Linked DNA regions of Drosophila melanogaster. Changing the gene in region 3 together with the main gene of any one other region gives a genetic interaction. Each region holds a gene or a part of one and is shown on either strand. Other genes may lie near its edges. The genes, in order: wek, Myd88 and Toll-6.

The links.
Region 1: of Toll-6 (region 3) and wek, changing one suppresses a phenotype caused by changing the other (phenotypic suppression), as found in Drosophila melanogaster (one study listed by BioGRID).
Region 2: of Toll-6 (region 3) and Myd88, changing one enhances a phenotype caused by changing the other (phenotypic enhancement), as found in Drosophila melanogaster (one study listed by BioGRID).

Annotation. Positions count from the first base shown.
Region 1 is NT_033779.5:15,765,633-15,770,379, forward strand, and holds wek (weckle), read right to left. Parts: upstream 2,718-4,747; 5' UTR 2,600-2,717; coding exon 2,474-2,599; intron 2,414-2,473; coding exon 1,508-2,413; intron 1,448-1,507; coding exon 1,101-1,447; intron 1,037-1,100; coding exon 1,003-1,036; 3' UTR 501-1,002; downstream 1-500. Other genes in the region: CG3793 (uncharacterized protein), read left to right, coding at 43-79; Ku80, read right to left, coding at 3,107-4,739. UniProt on the Drosophila melanogaster protein: Acts as an adapter to assemble/stabilize a Toll/wek/Myd88/tube complex; required for efficient recruitment of Myd88 to Toll. Dispensable for innate immune response; plays a minimal role, if any, in the immune defense against Gram-positive bacteria and fungi.
Region 2 is NT_033778.4:9,302,603-9,310,693, reverse strand, and holds Myd88 (Myd88), read left to right. Parts: upstream 1-1,971; 5' UTR 1,972-2,899; coding exon 2,900-3,425; intron 3,426-4,937; coding exon 4,938-5,227; intron 5,228-5,291; coding exon 5,292-5,460; intron 5,461-5,533; coding exon 5,534-5,720; intron 5,721-6,358; coding exon 6,359-6,800; 3' UTR 6,801-7,871; downstream 7,872-8,091.
Region 3 is NT_037436.4:15,334,712-15,339,746, forward strand, and holds the start of Toll-6 (Toll-6), read left to right. Parts: upstream 1-1,980; 5' UTR 1,981-2,513; coding exon 2,514-5,035.

The DNA.
Region 1 (4,747 bases), on a different chromosome or scaffold from region 3:
GTTTAATCAACATGATTTTTTCTTTCCTCTATTTCCATGCAGCGTCGAAGAGTTAATGTCCTCGCTGAACATTGACTAGGAGTGAGTGAAGGTGGAAGGGATAGAGAGCCAACCTACTTGGATGCACTATTTATTGACTCTGCTCGGTTTGGAGGAAGGCCATGCCAAAATATTTTGCTTCTCAACGTGTTAACCTAAACAGCAAGTAATTAAAGAGAAACCATCGAAATCAAAACATGTTTAGATATTTATCCTACACAGAGACCCACTCACAAATGATCTAATTTGTATTAATTTAGTTGTTCCTTATATTTTTTTCTCTTGTTACATTTTTATTATTTAATCGCTTAATATTTACTATTTTATCACCGAGTTGTGGCACAAAATATTGATAGGTGATCAATATGCCATTCATTCATTCCCCAATTTAAGTGTGCGTTTAAATTGTAAATGTATTTTGAAATTATTAAAAAAAAAACCAACTTAAATGCAAAAAGGGCCGTTGTGTGTTTAATTAGGTGTCAATGTATCTGGTGTTAGCACGAAGCATTTACATTTGCTGAGTTATAATTTCAAACTGATTTTATTGTGAATAAGCCCTTGGAATTATCTACAGACCAACTTGTCGCAATCTAGTGAACCATGCGTGGGAGTTCTATGAATAGCGCTCATCTTTAAAATATGCTGCAACCGCTCACAGGAGTTTCAATTGAGTGTTTCAAAGTGTACGCATAATTTGGTGTCACAAATTACAATTGTTATTTTTAAATCTACATTGTGAGTCAAACAATTATTATCTTTTATACAATGTCATTTTCATGTGTGAACACATTTCCCAATTTAAGTGTGCGTTTAAAAAGTGAATTTATTTTGAAACTTATTAAAAACCAATTTAAATGCAAAAAGGGCAGTTGTGTGTTTAATTAAGTGTAAATGTAAATGTCTCTGGGATAAAATTTTACTGCGCACTGCTATTTATACATTTTTGTCAACCAACATGGTCTAATCCTGTTTGGCCTTGGCCATCTCGCGAGTTCTGCAAACCAAAAATTTAGTACAATAGTAAGCTAATAATAATAATATGCATGACTATAGCTTACATCGCTCTCAGTTCTTCCAATGTTGGCACTGGAACACGTGAAGATTCGGTTTCATCCTCCTTGGACGCCAGTTCCGGATGTTTTTTCCATTTGTGGGAGCGACAGTTGGTGTTGCTGGCGAACGCCTTTCCGCAGTACTTGCATACGTAGGGTCTGAGGCCGGTGTGTCCAAGGAGATGGATCTTCAAGGCCGTGGAGTTCTTACAGCCGCTGCCACAAACCTCGCACTTGAAGCGCCGCTCATCCGTGTGCACATACTTGTGCTTGTTAAGAATCGCCCGTGTCTGCAGCTTTTTGCCGCAGACATTGCACTCAAACTTGGGCTCACCATGTGTCTGACTGTGCACCTGGAAATTGTATACAAATTTCAAGATTTAGTTGGTCCACAAGATTATTCGATGACTTACTCTCAGCCTAGCTTTGTTCTTAAAACCAGCATTGCAGACGGGGCATATACAGGGCTTCTCTTCCGTGTGAACCAGCTGGTGCTCCACCAGCGATGTGAAGGTCTTCAAACCCTTTCCGCAGTGATCGCAAACGTATTTCTTCGGACCGCCGTGCATGTCGTGCTTGTGCCTGCGCAGAGCCATGAAGGACATAAAGGTTTCGTTGCAGATTTTGCAGGGATAATCGACGAAATTCGAACTCTGGGAGCCATGGGGTGACATGCTCAATTCGGATGTCTTGTCATCTTGTTTGGATTTAGCATTGTCGTCTGGTTCGCGGGAAGTTACGTTATCGCTGTCGTCCACGTTTTTCTGTTTGCCTGAGCCCTTGGGTCTGCCTCTTTTTCGCTTCAAAGGCGGCGGGGATACGGCCTCGTCTTCGTCTAGAATGGCCTCCTCATCATCCGACTCGGTTGCAGTGTACACTTTGGAATTTCGCTTAGCCGCAAACTGCTGTCGGCGACTTCGTTTTGTTTCAACTTCAGGAATTGATGCAGTAGGTGAGGCTAGCACTTTGGGATCGGAATTACACTGTTTGAGATTAGCTCGTGTTCGCACGGTCTGTGCTTCAAAATCGGGTGACGGAGATGTGGAATGGTCTGATATCGTTAGCTCCTCTACCAAGGAACACCTATCCTCCGTATCGTCTATGTCCAGGAACTCGAGGTCCTGCTTGCAGGCCGGCGGAAGGCCGTATTCCAGACGCAGGGCGTCCAAGTCCTGGCTATCCTGCGGCTCCGAGTGTCGCAGAAGCTCAAAAATGGCTTGTACTTTGGAAACGCTATCCGAGAAGGTGATCAGCTGGCCAATCACCGAGTAGCACTCCTCGCACAACATGCTGCCCAGTTCCGGTTCCTCGAGGGTCATCTGCGTGTGTGGAAAACTAATGTATAAGCTATCTGTAGGCTGGGAAAACGAATAACATACCTCCACATCAAAGCATTTGCTGATAATCCTAACCAGATCGTCGTCCCGCTCGCGCACTTTGTATACAACGTCGTCGCGGGCGCACAGGCGACACCAGTATATCCAATCGCTTGTGGGAACTCCCATGGCTAATCCTCAACAGAAGCCCCACAGTTTGGTACAGTATGCCCTCGGGTTTTGACTAAATTCTATTGCCAAAGCGCTGATTAAAATCAGCTGTATGGAGCGGAATTCCGAATCGATTAATTGGTATGCGCACTCCGATGATTTTTGGAAATATCGATAAGTGCAAAACAACAAGTTGTTGCCGCCATTTTCAAAAAGTATTCAGTTTAAATTTGGAATTGAAAATTGTATTTATTTTACTTTTTTTTCTCAATCATAAGAAGTATTACTAACGTTTTCCTTCCTGCGTGTCGATGTTTATTAACATAGAGATGTATTATCATCATCATTTGGATGTGGTTTCCCAGGGATATAATGTTGTTTTTAAAACATGCGACCGAGTTTTTACTCTGGTATATATATATAAACAATATAATAATTTATTTTCGACTTACATATAAGAAAAACTGTGTATAACAAAAACTAATTTTAGCACATTTGCTTAATATAACAAAATGGAATGATAAACTACATCTCAACGTCTTCCATATCGTTCGCCCCACTCTCCACCCAATTCTCGATGGTGTAATAGGCTTTTAGAGCCAATTCGTCGTCCAGCGTCGGCTCGCCAAGCACCAAAGGGCCCAATTGCTTGTCGACCATAACGTCTTGCCAGAATTCGCTGCGATTCTTGGCCAGCGCGATCTTCTTCAGCTCCTCAGCGAACTTGTCGTATTCCAAAAAGGTGTTGAAGTCTATACAGCTCTGTCGGTACAGGGTGATGAGCTCGCCCAGTTGCCCGATGTTCTGTTTCCTGCGCTGCAGCAGTGTGATGATCACCACGCGGGTATCGGCAGCCAGCGCCTGAAAGCGGGCATCTCGCTCAGTGGCATTACTGATTGTGTGAACGCTAGCCAGGACTCGCCTGAAATCAGAGATTGGATCAATTAAGCCCACACCGTCTGATGGCAACGGGATTTCCTTCTCCGCTGGTTCCGACTTGACTGCCACACCATTCTCTGCCTGCTCCTTGGCCAACAGCTTTTCCTGCCAGGCGCGACTATAGCGCAATGGAAATAGCTTCTTTACGATGGCTGCCGCTCTCTTTGACTTCTCCTCCAAGGGATCTGGCACTCGCCAGAATACATCTGCGAAGTTTTTGTCCTTAAGCATTTTGTCTTCCTTGTCGTTATCATAGATAACTTTTCGCTCTAGGATGTCCATGACATTCTGCTCAAAGATGCTGGGAAGTGCGTCGAACGGCAGCAGATCATTCTGCGCCCACGGACGTGGCTGCTGCGTGTCCCGCAGTGTGCACTCCAGATCGGTGCTATCGATTAACTGATCAATGGCATTCAGCTGTTCCTCGCTGCACTCCGTCTTGGTGGTTCGCAGTGCCGGAAAGTCCCAGAAGTGGTGCTGAGACGTATAGGAAACTTCCAGCATATACAAAGTAGCCGGATGGGTATCGTCTGCTAAGCGGGGCAGTAGCACAACCATTTGCGGTCTATTAAACTTGGTGCTATATATTTTCCAGCACAGTATGGCCCGATCCGAAGAAACGAGAGCACGCACCAGAGCGTCCAGCTTCACGGCGGCAGATTGATTGTGCTTCTGATGCACCAGGAGGTACAAGGACTCGCCACAAAAGTACTCATCCGGCACGGCATTTCTTTTGATAAAGCCAAAGAAGTGGAGACCAGGTGGGTGTGGTTCCTTTGGCTCTAGCACGGCCTCGTCGTATGGCACCGGAGTGCCGCCCAGCATGTAACCGGTTATCAGATTCTCCGGCAGCGGGGTGATCTCAGTGCCTTTGATATAATGACGAGTCTCCCGTATCACTATCTCATCCTTTTCCGCCCAGACCTTTACCAGCTTTACGGGCGTCTGGTTCTTCATGGCGATTATGCCCTGCAGGCTAATGGAGATCTTGCTGCCGATGTTCAGCTTTGCGTTCCACACCCAGGGTCGCCGGTTGGTCACCTTGAAGACGGTATGCAGTGCCTCCTTGAAGCTGCACAACGTCGCATTGCAGCGAGGAACGAGACTGAGGGCGTACTTCTGGTTATTCAGCTCATCGGGGCCGCATTTGCGCGAAAAGTTGAAAATAGCCTGAGGCTGAGAAGTGATGGCATTGTCTATGTAGGCTATGTTGTGAGTTCTAAGTGA
Region 2 (8,091 bases), on a different chromosome or scaffold from region 3:
TGTTTTTCCATTCAAAACTGATACGGTTAACTCTTAACTAAAAACTGGCTAAATTATTTGCAATAAATATCTGATTTAAGAGCACATGTTTCAGGTAAATTACGTGATTTTATAGTTGGACAGTTTCAGCTTTTCCTTACAATTAGTTTTCTCTGTATACGAATTTATTTGTTTTTAAGCCATTTGGCGAGCAGGGAAGCGGAATTTCAATGGCGGGCAGGGCGAAAACAAATGGAAAGCTTTAAATTAGCTCAATAAATTGTAAACTTAAACATTTAATCTACTTAGAGCGGGTCGTTGTTAAATGCAATGCAAGTACATCTGGGACAAAGAATCACACACCTCATTCAGATTTGTAAGATACGCATTTTGGCCCAGAAAGCCATTCGAATTTGACCACAAATACACACAGGCTAAAACAGAGGCTAAAATAATCAAATTTGTCGCCAGGCAGTCACAAAGGATATTTAGTATATACAATCAAACAACAATATACTTAGTAATTGCATTTAACACATGGGGCAGAGCATATCCACTAGGTTTGCAAAATTGATTTAACTGCATGCTTAAACTAACGAAAGTAAAAAGGAGATTAACTGAATGAAGGAGGTAGGGGAGACCTAATTAAAAGAACACAACTAATGTCTATATTTATGGCTAGCTAAGTGTAAAAATGTAAGCTGAATTATTATACAAACAACTACAATCGAAGCAAGTAAATTGATGTAATTGAAATACTCGAAACGTTCTAGGGCGAAATACCAATGAATATTGAATAATGACACAGGTTAAACACAAACACGCAGCAAGCATAAATTAATGAATAACGAAATTATTTCTCGAGAAAAAAATCAAACTTTTTAGCCTTTGAACGAGAGACTTTTGGTGCCCAATCCAGTTTGAGCAATTATTTACAAGTGAAAAATGAACGAAATACAAAGAAAGACACACAAACCACACCACACACAGGCAGATGTATTGTAAATAGAGCCACAAACAAACCAAATGAGTAAATACCAAGTAGGTACATTAATAACTAATGATGGGGCTTATCCGAGTAAATCAACATTAAATAAATTAACAACGGAATTCAAACAAAAGCAGGTAACTTCAACTTCAACTTGTGTGCAAGGCATCAACTTTTACTGTTAATTGTTGCTGGCAATGCAAAACGCAACGCCGACCGAAAAACGAAAACTACAAAAATAAACCATGAAAAAGCAAAACAAATATATTTAAAATACATTTGAACGCCTTCAGCGTTTTATTCATCAAGCAAAGCAAGAAATGTTGAATCGAAAGAAAAAGTCAAACAAAGCCATAAAAGCGATAAATCAATTTGTGTCACCTGTGTAGTAAGTATATCTCAGTATTTGTAACTGAAAATGAAAAGCGTTGAGGTGCAGGCATCAACCACACAAAGAACAAACAAAATCAAATGAAAATAAACTGAATTTACAAGTGCTCTCTGACTATTATTTACGAGAGTGTGGTCCTTGGTTGGCATGTTCATTTCCCCACATTATCGTCTCAAATCAGTTGATTTCGGGGAAGCAATATTTCTCGGTAAAATGAGTAAGTATGTCTTGGACAGGTCGAAATGTAAAATATTCCTTTTTGAGGCACCATTAAAGGTACCATTCTCTGCATAACTGAAAGGAGTTAGATTGCCTACATCAGCCGGTCGAATAGGAGAGTGCGTTTTTACTCACTTTACTACTCTTCTTGCTTTTGCACTAGCAAGAAATCATTATCAATTATGCTTATGAATAATTAGGAATCCTACGGCAAGAACCAACGTTCCTAAATTATATTTAACCAACCGGAAATTAAGTCAACCACTCTTAGAGCGCCATCTGGTGAATGCTTTTGGAACCTATTAAAGTGTGGCCCGCGCACCAAAAATACCGCAACCGATAACTGGCCCCGATAAAGTACCAAACCTCGCCGATGACTGGCCACCCGAAAAGCTGTGACTCGCCAAGCTTTTGCCCATCGATCGCCACGAGCTTATCGGAATCGCGATCTGATCTGAAAAGTGGGAACGCAGCGCAGATAAATTAATTAGCAATTAGCCAGTGCAAACAGAGTGTTGTCAGCCGACTAGAAAAAGCAGCTGAGCTGATAGTTCCGCCTGTGGCCCCCGCGCTTTCGCCCTGCATCGGAACGAAACCAAAATAAACAAGCGAGTGAAAGGCGGTGGAGAAAGAGCGCGGGAGAGTGAGCGCGAAGAGTAGTCCGTTGGGGAGGAGGCGGAGGAGGAGCGGACAACGAGGCAGAAACAAAAGCACAAACGGCGGACAGAACCAGTCGAAACAAAACAACAAACCGGAGCGGACGCACTCGAAAAAAGCGAAACGAATTTATTTCTGTGCTTAGGGCGACACTGTGTGCGTGCGCCACTGATTGTGAGTGTGTGTGTTGTGTATATTTAAACAATATTCAAAAAATCATACGCCAGACGAATAAAAAACGCGACGAAAACGAAGGCGAAGATCTCCATCTCCTCTCGCAGCGGAGCAGACAGATAAATAAAAACAGAATCCGAGACAGCAACAACAACGCGACTGTGACGCGGCAAGGTGCTGGAGGTCACTCGGTCCATTTCGCACCGCACTGAAGTATAGAAGTTTAGCAGTAAAGCACCACCCCCTTCTAACCAGTTTCAGCTTCATCCGCCCGCAAAAAACAAAAAAAAAACAAGCACGCGCGATCGGAAAACTCGAAAAAATCTACAGAGCAGCACAACTCACGCGCTTCATCGTTTTATTGCTCGCCGCCCTCTCGACTGATAAACGTCAGTTGATAAATATATATCGCATCACATCGCATCCACACTAAAACAAATACGCCAGCAAACAAACACCAATTATTCCAATAAAGCCAGCGCCAAGTGCGAATGCGCCCTCGATTTGTATGCCATCAGCAGCACTCGGTGGCCCATTCCCACTACCAGCCCCACTCCCACTTCCATCACCATACCCACCGCCATCCCAATCCGCCCCATCACCATCACATTTACGGCGCCACTGACGTCAGTTATCGGCGTTATCGCACCGCTGGCATGGTGGTGGCCGAGGGAGTTATGGACTCCGGGTCGGGATCGGGCACGGGAACGGGCTTGGGGCACTTCAACGAGACCCCATTATCCGCACTGGGCATCGAGACCCGCACCCAGCTGTCCCGCATGCTGAACCGCAAGAAGGTGCTGCGATCCGAGGAGGGCTACCAGCGGGACTGGCGCGGCATCTCGGAGCTGGCCAAGCAGAAGGGATTCGTCGACGAGAACGCCAACAATCCCATGGATCTGGTGCTGATCAGCTGGAGCCAGCGGAGTCCCCAGACCGCCAAGGTGGGCCATCTGGAACACTTCCTGGGCATTATCGATCGGTGGGACGTCTGCGACGATATCCAGGAGAATCTGGGTAGGCATTAACTATTTTTTACTTATGGTAGTCGCTATCTATCTATAACTAAACTATGTCACTTGAGTTTTGAGTATCATTTGTTTTAGATTAGCTTTTAAATGATGGTCTGACGATTCGACTTTTACTTCAAAATGCCATCGTGACAGTGAAAATTTAGTTAAACGTCTAGACTAACTATGTATGTTTGACTGTTCTCGAGTTTGCGAAGTTGAAGAGGAATTTTAAATAATGTACTTATCAAATGATATGTACACAAATGTTGGAAATCGGAAAATGAACCATTAAATTTTACTTTAATGGCGAGCCACACTTATCAATTATTTTTGGCTGATCCATTTTTGGTTTTATGACCGGAAAAGCCGTTTCGAGTTTATAAAAATGGACGTGGTAATCTATATAATATAGGGAGTATATGCAGAAAGCGTACATATTTAACTTATCTATCGCACATTTATCTAAGTCAAACAAAGCTTATCGTCGGATACATAAAACTATTGAGTTATGATGAGTAGATACGTAATGACAGAAATAAAAGTCACCCACTTTCCCATGATTAATTTGTGTTTATTTCTATTTATTGTCAAATAAAACGCTTCGACTTACAAGATTTTTATTACCACATCCCGACAAATTGAAAAACACACAGCCATAAAGAAAAAATTCAAAACAATAATTTCTAAAAGCCGCAAACAACAGAACTTAAACTATAGAAAATGCCAATCAGTTAAGAACGAAATTTTCTTATTTATTTGCACAATGGGGATTCACCCAGCAAAAACTGTTGTCATTAATAAAAAACCTCGAACAGTCAATTTTGTTTAGGAGCAGATGTTGTATAGATATATTCGTTGTGACCAAAATGGTTCGATTTAAAAACAAATGAACGCACTCGGAAGTTGAATGCTTAAGGTATAAAAAAGCACACATAATTAAAATCGTATTAGGAATTTTTCAAAGGAAATGTTTGAATTCCTTTTCTAATGATCTTTCATTGGGTGTTTTAGAAATATTCCAATAAAACTAAAAATAACTAAAAAAGTAAATTTTTTATAAATGTGTCGTTGATGATAACTGCTTGAATCTAGAATTCACTACCTCTTACTAGAATGATCTTTTCTGCTGACAATATATTTGGAATAAAAAGATGGGGAGACAATGGCAGACATCTGAATGGATATATGCATACACTTATCTATTCATACATAATATTGAGTTACAAATCATAAATACTACCAATTTGTTATGAAAGCTTCATATATTAGCGACTGTGTGCAGAAACTCAGATAAACTTCACTATGCCATTCCTTTAAGCTCATTATATATCAACAAAGGGTTATATTTATTATTTAATAAACATAATTTAAGTAATTTGATTTTGACATTAACATGTATAAATTGTGTTGTTTACTTTACGAATGATGTGTTAAGAAAACTTTTTGTGCGGCCTTGTAGTTTTTAGCAATCATAATCCCTTTAGTAAAACTGTTTTAATTTTGCTCTCCTCAAAAGCCAAGGACACCCAGCGCTTCATCATGAAACAGGAGCAGCGACAGACTGCTCTCGTGGAGGCGTGTCCGCCGCCCCCCAGCGACTGCTTCGAGACCAACAACAACTACAGCAGCAGCAACAACATCACAGTGGGCCAAAGTGTGCAGATCCTCAGCGACGAGGACCAGAGATGTGTACAGATGGGCCAACCGCTGCCCAGATACAACGCATGTGTTCTGTACGCGGAGGCAGACATCGATCATGCCACCGAGATCATGAATAATCTAGAGTCTGAGCGATACAATCTCAGGGTGAGTGGGATGCGCTCGGTTGCTGTGTGTTGTATTAAATAACCATGGGATCGTTCTATTGCAGCTATTCCTGCGCCACCGCGACATGCTAATGGGCGTTCCGTTCGAGCATGTCCAGCTATCCCATTTCATGGCCACCCGCTGCAATCACCTGATCGTCGTGCTCACAGAGGAGTTTCTTCGGAGTCCGGAGAACACGTACCTCGTGAACTTCACCCAAAAGATCCAGATTGGTGAGTAGCTGATACGCATTTGTATCGCAGAGCCAGAGTCGCATTACAAGTTCAACGATCTGACTTTCCCCAGAGAATCACACTCGCAAGATCATACCGATTCTGTACAAAACGGACATGCACATACCCCAGACCCTGGGCATTTACACGCACATCAAGTACGCCGGGGACTCCAAGTTGTTCAACTTCTGGGACAAGTTGGCTCGTTCCCTACACGATCTGGATGCCTTTTCGATCTACTCCACGCGCCAGGTGCAGACGTAAGTGTTGCTACTTCCTGCGATATATGTATATGTATGTGTTCCAAAAATACTTGATACATTTTTAGGGGTATAAAATCTCAAGATAATGTAGATTGCTAGCCAACAGATAAATGAGGTTTGCAAACTGAATACGAATACATGAAGTAGTCTAGTCATCCCAATTTAAGAAGCTGTTTTAGAATACATTTTATTAGCTTAAGTTTTTGATTTTACTGTTCAATTATTGCTACTGCTGGTTGTAGGGGCTGCGAAATCGTTTCACAACATTCACATAAAATGTGCAAATGTATACCAACTGCTTGTAAACAAAATATATAAGCAAATATCACATGGCGTACGAGCGATCAACCTTAGAACAGCCTAGCAGGTATTTTTATTTAGTTTTGCTAAATTCAAAGAAGATACGTTTGTTTCAGAAAGATGAACTCATACGACTTTTAAAGTGCCCAGGAAGTAATACACTGCATATGAGTAATCAAATTTGAAACAAATTTATAAACAGGAAATAAATGTATTATATATCTGGGCGTAAGATTATATTGAAGCGAAATTAGTTTTGCTGTTAATTGTAAAACATGTTGGAATTTTATCACTCATATCATAAATTTGGCATTCTCTAAAATTTCTTTATGCAGTCCCTCGCCGGTGGAGGAATCGGCTCCCCGGGTGACCACTCCCAGCATTCGGATTCAGATCAACGACAAGGATGTCACTGATATGCCAAACTACAACAGCTGCAAAGTGCCGGAGGCGGAGACCACAATCGTTTCGGTTTCCGGTGACACCGGCTCACCCCTGCCGGAGCACAAGCCGAAGAAAAAGGATCGCTTCCTGCGCAGAATCACGCACAGCTTTGGAAAGACGGCGCGGAGCGATGGGGCCAGCGGCAAGACTCTGCGTCATGCCCACTCCGTCAGCACCATAAATGTCACGGAACGCGAGAGGACACTCAGTGCCAGCAGCTCCAACATCTCCACCACGTCGGAGAGCAAGAAGAGCTTCATCAAGTGGCAGCCGAACATCCTGAAGAAGGCCCTATTCTCGCGATCCAGCAGCAAGCTGCAGACGCCGGGCTGAGATCATAGTGTTAGGATAGCCATTCATTCGATTTCTCGATTCTTTGATTCCTTGTCGTGTGCCCAGTCTAGTTGTGGCCGCCCAGTCACCAATGTCGTCACCCTCCATGCCTAGTGATAATCTTTAGCCTAATCCTTATCAAGTCAACTAACTTAATATACTTAGACGCACTTGTTAACTTATATAAGACAACAACGAATAAAGACAATACCACATATCCGCACAAATGTATCACAAAAGCACACAGACTACCAAATACGACACGATATTGCTATATGCTCTATGTATATGACTCTGGACTTGATAAACAGACAAATTGGCAATTGCGTTGAGTGAGGTTAAATACGCGACACTGCTAATCGAAGTGCTCAATTAACTGTTAGTCACGCGTTCGATAAGTGACTTACTTAATTTAATTATCTCGCGCGCCGTTCTCGCAACTCAGACCCCATCTGAGAATGAGTAATGAGCATATATAACGCATACGTACATATGGCTGCATTGTGCGAGCAGTGCTTTATCATTTTGTAAACTGCTCAAGCCGTTTTAGACGATTGCTAGCAATAAGTAAACTGTTTGTTCTCGGTACCGCCATCGGCTGGTTGCCTCATGTGATTAGCTCTAGCCTAGCTGTTACCGATTGTTACTGATTGCTGTGAATGCGTGCCCATATGCCTGATGTGCACCTAAGCACACTCACTTGTTATAAAGCAAAGACTATCAATACGTCATCCATCATCACATCGTCTCTTTCAATGTATCTAGAGTCTATATAGTATTATATGTATCTCCGGACAGTGCGTTTCAAAACCATATAGAGTCGATCGACAACCATATATTATGTCCAACTTTTGTCAAGCGACAACGAATGTGGATAAAACGCAATATACATATGTTCCTCAATGTCGGGCATCGAACGCTCGAACTTCGACCTTCGCGACACGTGGCACTTGGCGGTCATGGTTATGAAACGCACTGTATCCATATCGGAAATAAGCTAGCTCCAGTTGAGCGGCAATAAACTGTTCAATGTTTGGCTCAATAATTTATTGTTGAATGTAGACAACCTTTAGTTCGTTCATGTTTAATAAACATTGCAGTTGATGTGTGAATCCCCGTATATGTATTTACATACAGTTGTTCGCGTACATATTGAGTGGAAATGTTTATCGACCAGTTCCGGTTAATCTACAAGACAGTTCGAATCGGTTTAAATTTTTTGTATTTTTTTTGTTTTATTTATTTTCGTTTTTTTATTGTTTAAATCGTTTAATGTTTTAATAATAGCTCC
Region 3 (5,035 bases):
CACGGACAAAAGCCAGAAGCGTTCACCAAATTGATAACTACCGAAAAAAGAATACCAGGCCGGGGAAGAAATATTCCTTCTTGGTTGCATGTGCCACCACACAAAGGAAAGCGAGCCACAAAACCTCGTCCTTGCCGCCATTTACATTTGAAAGAGCCTGCGAAAGCCTGAAGGTGAGTAAAATAAGGGGTGCACTGAAGGAAAATCTTGTGAATAAAACAGTAATACATCCCTGTACAAGAGTAATTGGTAAAAGAAAAACATCATGTGCCTAAATAACTAATATTTTTAGCGAATATCTTACTGAGAAAATCTCTCAAATTAAGACTGAACTGCAATAGTTTTCTTCACTGTGCAGGAGGCTTATTAGACTTGGCTGCTGTTCGTGGCTCTGCTGCTGCTCCTGCTGGTGATATAATTTTAATAACTTACATAATATATTCTTTTGTGTGGCCAAGCCACATAATTGTTAGAAACATTAGGCAAATCATTACCCCAGCACGAAAAATGGGTGGGAGGCGTTCTGTTGGCTGACGCAATTTGGCAAAAATGTTTTTGTGTTTGCTTTTAGTGGCGACAAAAAGATCCTTAGCCACAACACCCATGGATATGGGAAAACTTTCAAGCCAGCTAAGAAATATTAGCCCAAGATAAAGTGTCCAGGGCAGCTGTTTTTCTTGGGAATTAGTCATGAAAGACCCGAAGTTTATCAAGGTTACCATGCCGTGGTAATCGCCATTGAATTTGTTGGCGGTGATCCATCAATATTTCTGCTTTCACCCAAATATTGAACAATCAAAATACATACATGCCGGAGGTTAACGAAATAAGGAACAATAGACAGTCTTCTTTGTAAATTAACCCTTGGAAAATTTCCTTGATAGATTGATTTCTTTTTCGAGATACCAGGACTACTTTAGGTAAGATTATAATACATTCATCAAAATCATAGGCGCGTGAAGCAAAAATTGTATATTTATTATTTGAAGTAGTAAAATGTTCCAAGTGTAATTAATCTCAAAGAAATATTAATTTAAGTCCAAAAGACAATAACATAATTCAAAATTTAAGTAACTACAAAAATCTGAATTTGCAGTGTGCGATTTAAGATATCCTATAAAAGGAGCTTTTTATAAAAACTCTGCTCACGAATTTTCATATTTGCTATTTCCAGCATCTCCCAATCGAGTCTAACCAAGTCCTTGCATAACTTTCCGGATTTGAGAACGAGGAATCCACAGAAATCCCCACACATCCAAAGCCCAACGAAACCCCATAATGCTGGCCCATAATCATTATCATTAACCTGATGGGGAAGACAGTTTTTTGCTGCTTTGCTGGGCGAAAAAGAAGTCATGAAACCACAGGAATTGTTACATGAGGCGCAAACAAAACAGTTTAATTAAAATTATTATTGTAATTTAATGGAATGTGAGGAATTATTATTTTTATACGGGTCTGGGCCCACGAAACAGGAGCAAAAAGCAGCCGAAGGACCTTCTCGGCACACCGACACACACATGCACATGGCATAAAAATAAATTACGTTTGTATGAAGATTGGCGCTGGCCCATGCACATCATATATTTTCATTATCAAAACAGAGACAGCAGAGAAGTCGCCGGTTGGCGGCGGGGGGTGCGGAGCTCTATCTCCGATTCGGCGGCAAAAAAATAAAGGATATACGAAATACGACGAAAAAAGACAGAGAAAATCAAAAGGAAAACACGAACGAACGCCAGCTGTTCGATGCGATTAGATGGAGAGAAAGAAAAACATTTTCCAGCATCCGTCGAGCCAGAGCGAATTTCCCTTTAGTCATACTCTCCGAAAACTCTCAGCATTTCCCGCCCGTGCAGAGCCTGTCGGCTGCTCTTCGTCTGTTTTCCAGCCCCCTTCGGCTCGCGTTCGGCTTTTCGGATTTTCGGGGTTTCGAGTTCGTGGACGACTCTCCATTTAAAAGAGAAGTTGCGCACGTTGCGGCAGTCAGTCGAAAATCAGCCAACGTGCGCGTTACATTACGAACCGGAAAATATCGACGCTGCTGCACCGCTCAAGTCCCAGAAAAAGTGGGTTCAGTTCAGCCAAATGAAAAAGTGATAATAGAAGTCGAGCCCGCAGCTAAATTGAAATTCATCAAAGGTTCCTATAACGCGACGTGTAATAAACAAAAACTTCGAAGCGAGTAATTCAAAGCGCCGAAACGAATAAAAAAGAAAAATTTAAATATAAAGAGGATAGAAAAGGCCAAGTGCTAGAAAATGTGCCGGGTGTAAGAGAGAAGAAAACACGGAGAGCATAATTAACTAAAGAATCGGGGGAAAATAAAGAAAATCTGGCTTGGAGTAGAGGGAGCACAGAAGCCGAAAATATGTGCGCAGACTTTTCTTTGGCCAGCCAGTGGAATTGATTTTCTTTTCGTTTCTCCCCAAGACCCCCGCTTGTACCGTCTTTCCCCCCTCCGCAAACCCATTTTCCGGTGCCTCCACGCAGCTAAACCGTGAATCGCCAAAATGATCTACTATATGCTACTCATACTGCCCGTGGTCCTGGCCCAGGATCAGCAGCACACCACGGAATCGCTGTCCACCAAGCACCACCAGCAGCAGCAGCTGTCGCACTCGAATGCGATAATGGGTGAGGCTGGGGTCTCCAACTCGCAGCTAATGCAGCCCTCGACTCCGGCGCGAACCCTGCGACCCTTGACCGCGGGCGCGGGTGGTGACCCTTCGCTGTATGACGCCCCCGACGACTGTCACTTCATGCCAGCAGCGGGTCTGGATCAGCCGGAAATAGCCTTAACGTGCAACCTGCGCACGGTGAACAGCGAGTTTGACACAACCAATTTCAGTGTTATACCCGCCGAGCACACGATTGCCCTGCACATACTGTGCAATGACGAAATCATGGCCAAGAGTCGCCTGGAGGCGCAATCTTTCGCCCATCTGGTTAGGCTCCAGCAGCTGTCCATCCAGTATTGCAAGCTGGGGCGACTGGGTCGCCAGGTTCTGGATGGTCTGGAGCAGCTGAGGAACCTGACGCTCCGGACGCACAACATCCTGTGGCCAGCGCTGAATTTCGAGATAGAAGCGGATGCCTTCTCGGTCACTCGGAGGTTGGAGAGACTGGACCTCAGTTCGAACAACATCTGGTCCCTGCCGGATAACATATTCTGCACCCTGTCCGAGTTGTCTGCCCTGAACATGAGCGAGAATCGCCTGCAGGACGTCAACGAGCTGGGCTTCAGGGATCGCAGCAAGGAGCCAACCAATGGTTCCACCGAATCCACCTCCACCACCGAATCGGCCAAAAAGAGCAGTAGCTCAAGCACCAGTTGTTCGCTGGACCTGGAGTACCTGGATGTGAGCCACAATGATTTCGTCGTGCTGCCAGCAAATGGATTTGGCACTCTGAGGAGGCTGCGAGTCCTTTCGGTCAACAACAATGGCATCTCCATGATTGCGGACAAGGCTCTCAGTGGACTGAAGAACCTGCAGATCCTGAACCTGAGCTCCAACAAAATCGTGGCCTTGCCCACAGAACTCTTCGCTGAGCAAGCCAAGATTATCCAAGAGGTGTACCTGCAGAATAATTCCATAAGTGTGCTGAATCCGCAGCTCTTCTCGAATCTGGACCAGCTGCAGGCCCTGGACCTGTCCATGAACCAGATAACCTCCACCTGGATCGATAAGAACACCTTTGTGGGTCTGATTCGTCTGGTTCTGCTTAATTTGTCGCACAACAAGTTGACCAAACTGGAGCCAGAGATCTTCAGCGACTTGTACACCCTGCAGATTCTTAATCTGCGTCACAATCAGCTGGAGAACATCGCAGCCGACACTTTTGCCCCGATGAATAATCTGCACACGCTGCTGCTGTCGCACAACAAACTGAAGTATCTGGATGCATATGCTCTGAACGGATTGTATGTACTGTCGCTGCTCTCGCTGGACAATAATGCGCTGATTGGCGTGCATCCGGATGCCTTCCGGAACTGCAGTGCCCTGCAGGACCTCAACTTGAATGGCAATCAGCTGAAGACAGTTCCGCTGGCCCTGAGGAATATGCGCCATTTGAGAACCGTGGATCTGGGCGAGAACATGATTACCGTTATGGAGGATAGTGCGTTTAAAGGTCTGGGAAATCTCTATGGTCTCCGCTTGATTGGCAACTACCTGGAGAATATTACGATGCACACCTTCAGGGATCTGCCTAATTTGCAAATCCTGAATCTCGCCAGAAACCGCATAGCAGTTGTGGAACCGGGGGCCTTTGAGATGACCTCGAGCATTCAAGCTGTGCGTTTGGATGGCAATGAGCTGAATGACATCAATGGCCTCTTCAGCAACATGCCCTCCCTTCTGTGGCTGAATATATCCGATAATCGTTTGGAATCCTTTGATTATGGACATGTGCCATCCACCCTGCAGTGGCTGGACCTCCATAAGAATCGGTTGAGTTCCTTATCAAATCGTTTTGGTTTGGATAGTGAGCTAAAACTACAAACTCTCGATGTGAGCTTTAATCAACTTCAGCGCATTGGACCCAGTTCCATACCAAACTCTATCGAACTGCTGTTCCTGAACGACAACCTGATAACCACCGTTGATCCAGATACCTTTATGCACAAAACCAATCTGACCCGGGTGGATCTCTATGCGAACCAAATCACAACGCTGGACATCAAGTCCTTGAGGATTCTGCCAGTTTGGGAACATCGAGCTCTGCCAGAGTTCTATATTGGTGGAAATCCCTTCACCTGCGATTGTAACATTGATTGGCTGCAGAAGATTAACCATATAACATCGAGGCAATATCCAAGGATTATGGATCTGGAGACCATATACTGCAAGTTGCTGAACAACAGGGAGAGGGCCTATATTCCCCTGATCGAAGCTGAACCCAAGCACTTTTTGTGCACCTACAAGACCCATTGCTTCGCCGTTTGCCATTGCTGTGAGTTCGATGCTTGTGATTGCGAGATGACCTGCCCCACGAATTGCACGTGCTTCCATGACCAAACCTGGTCCACAAA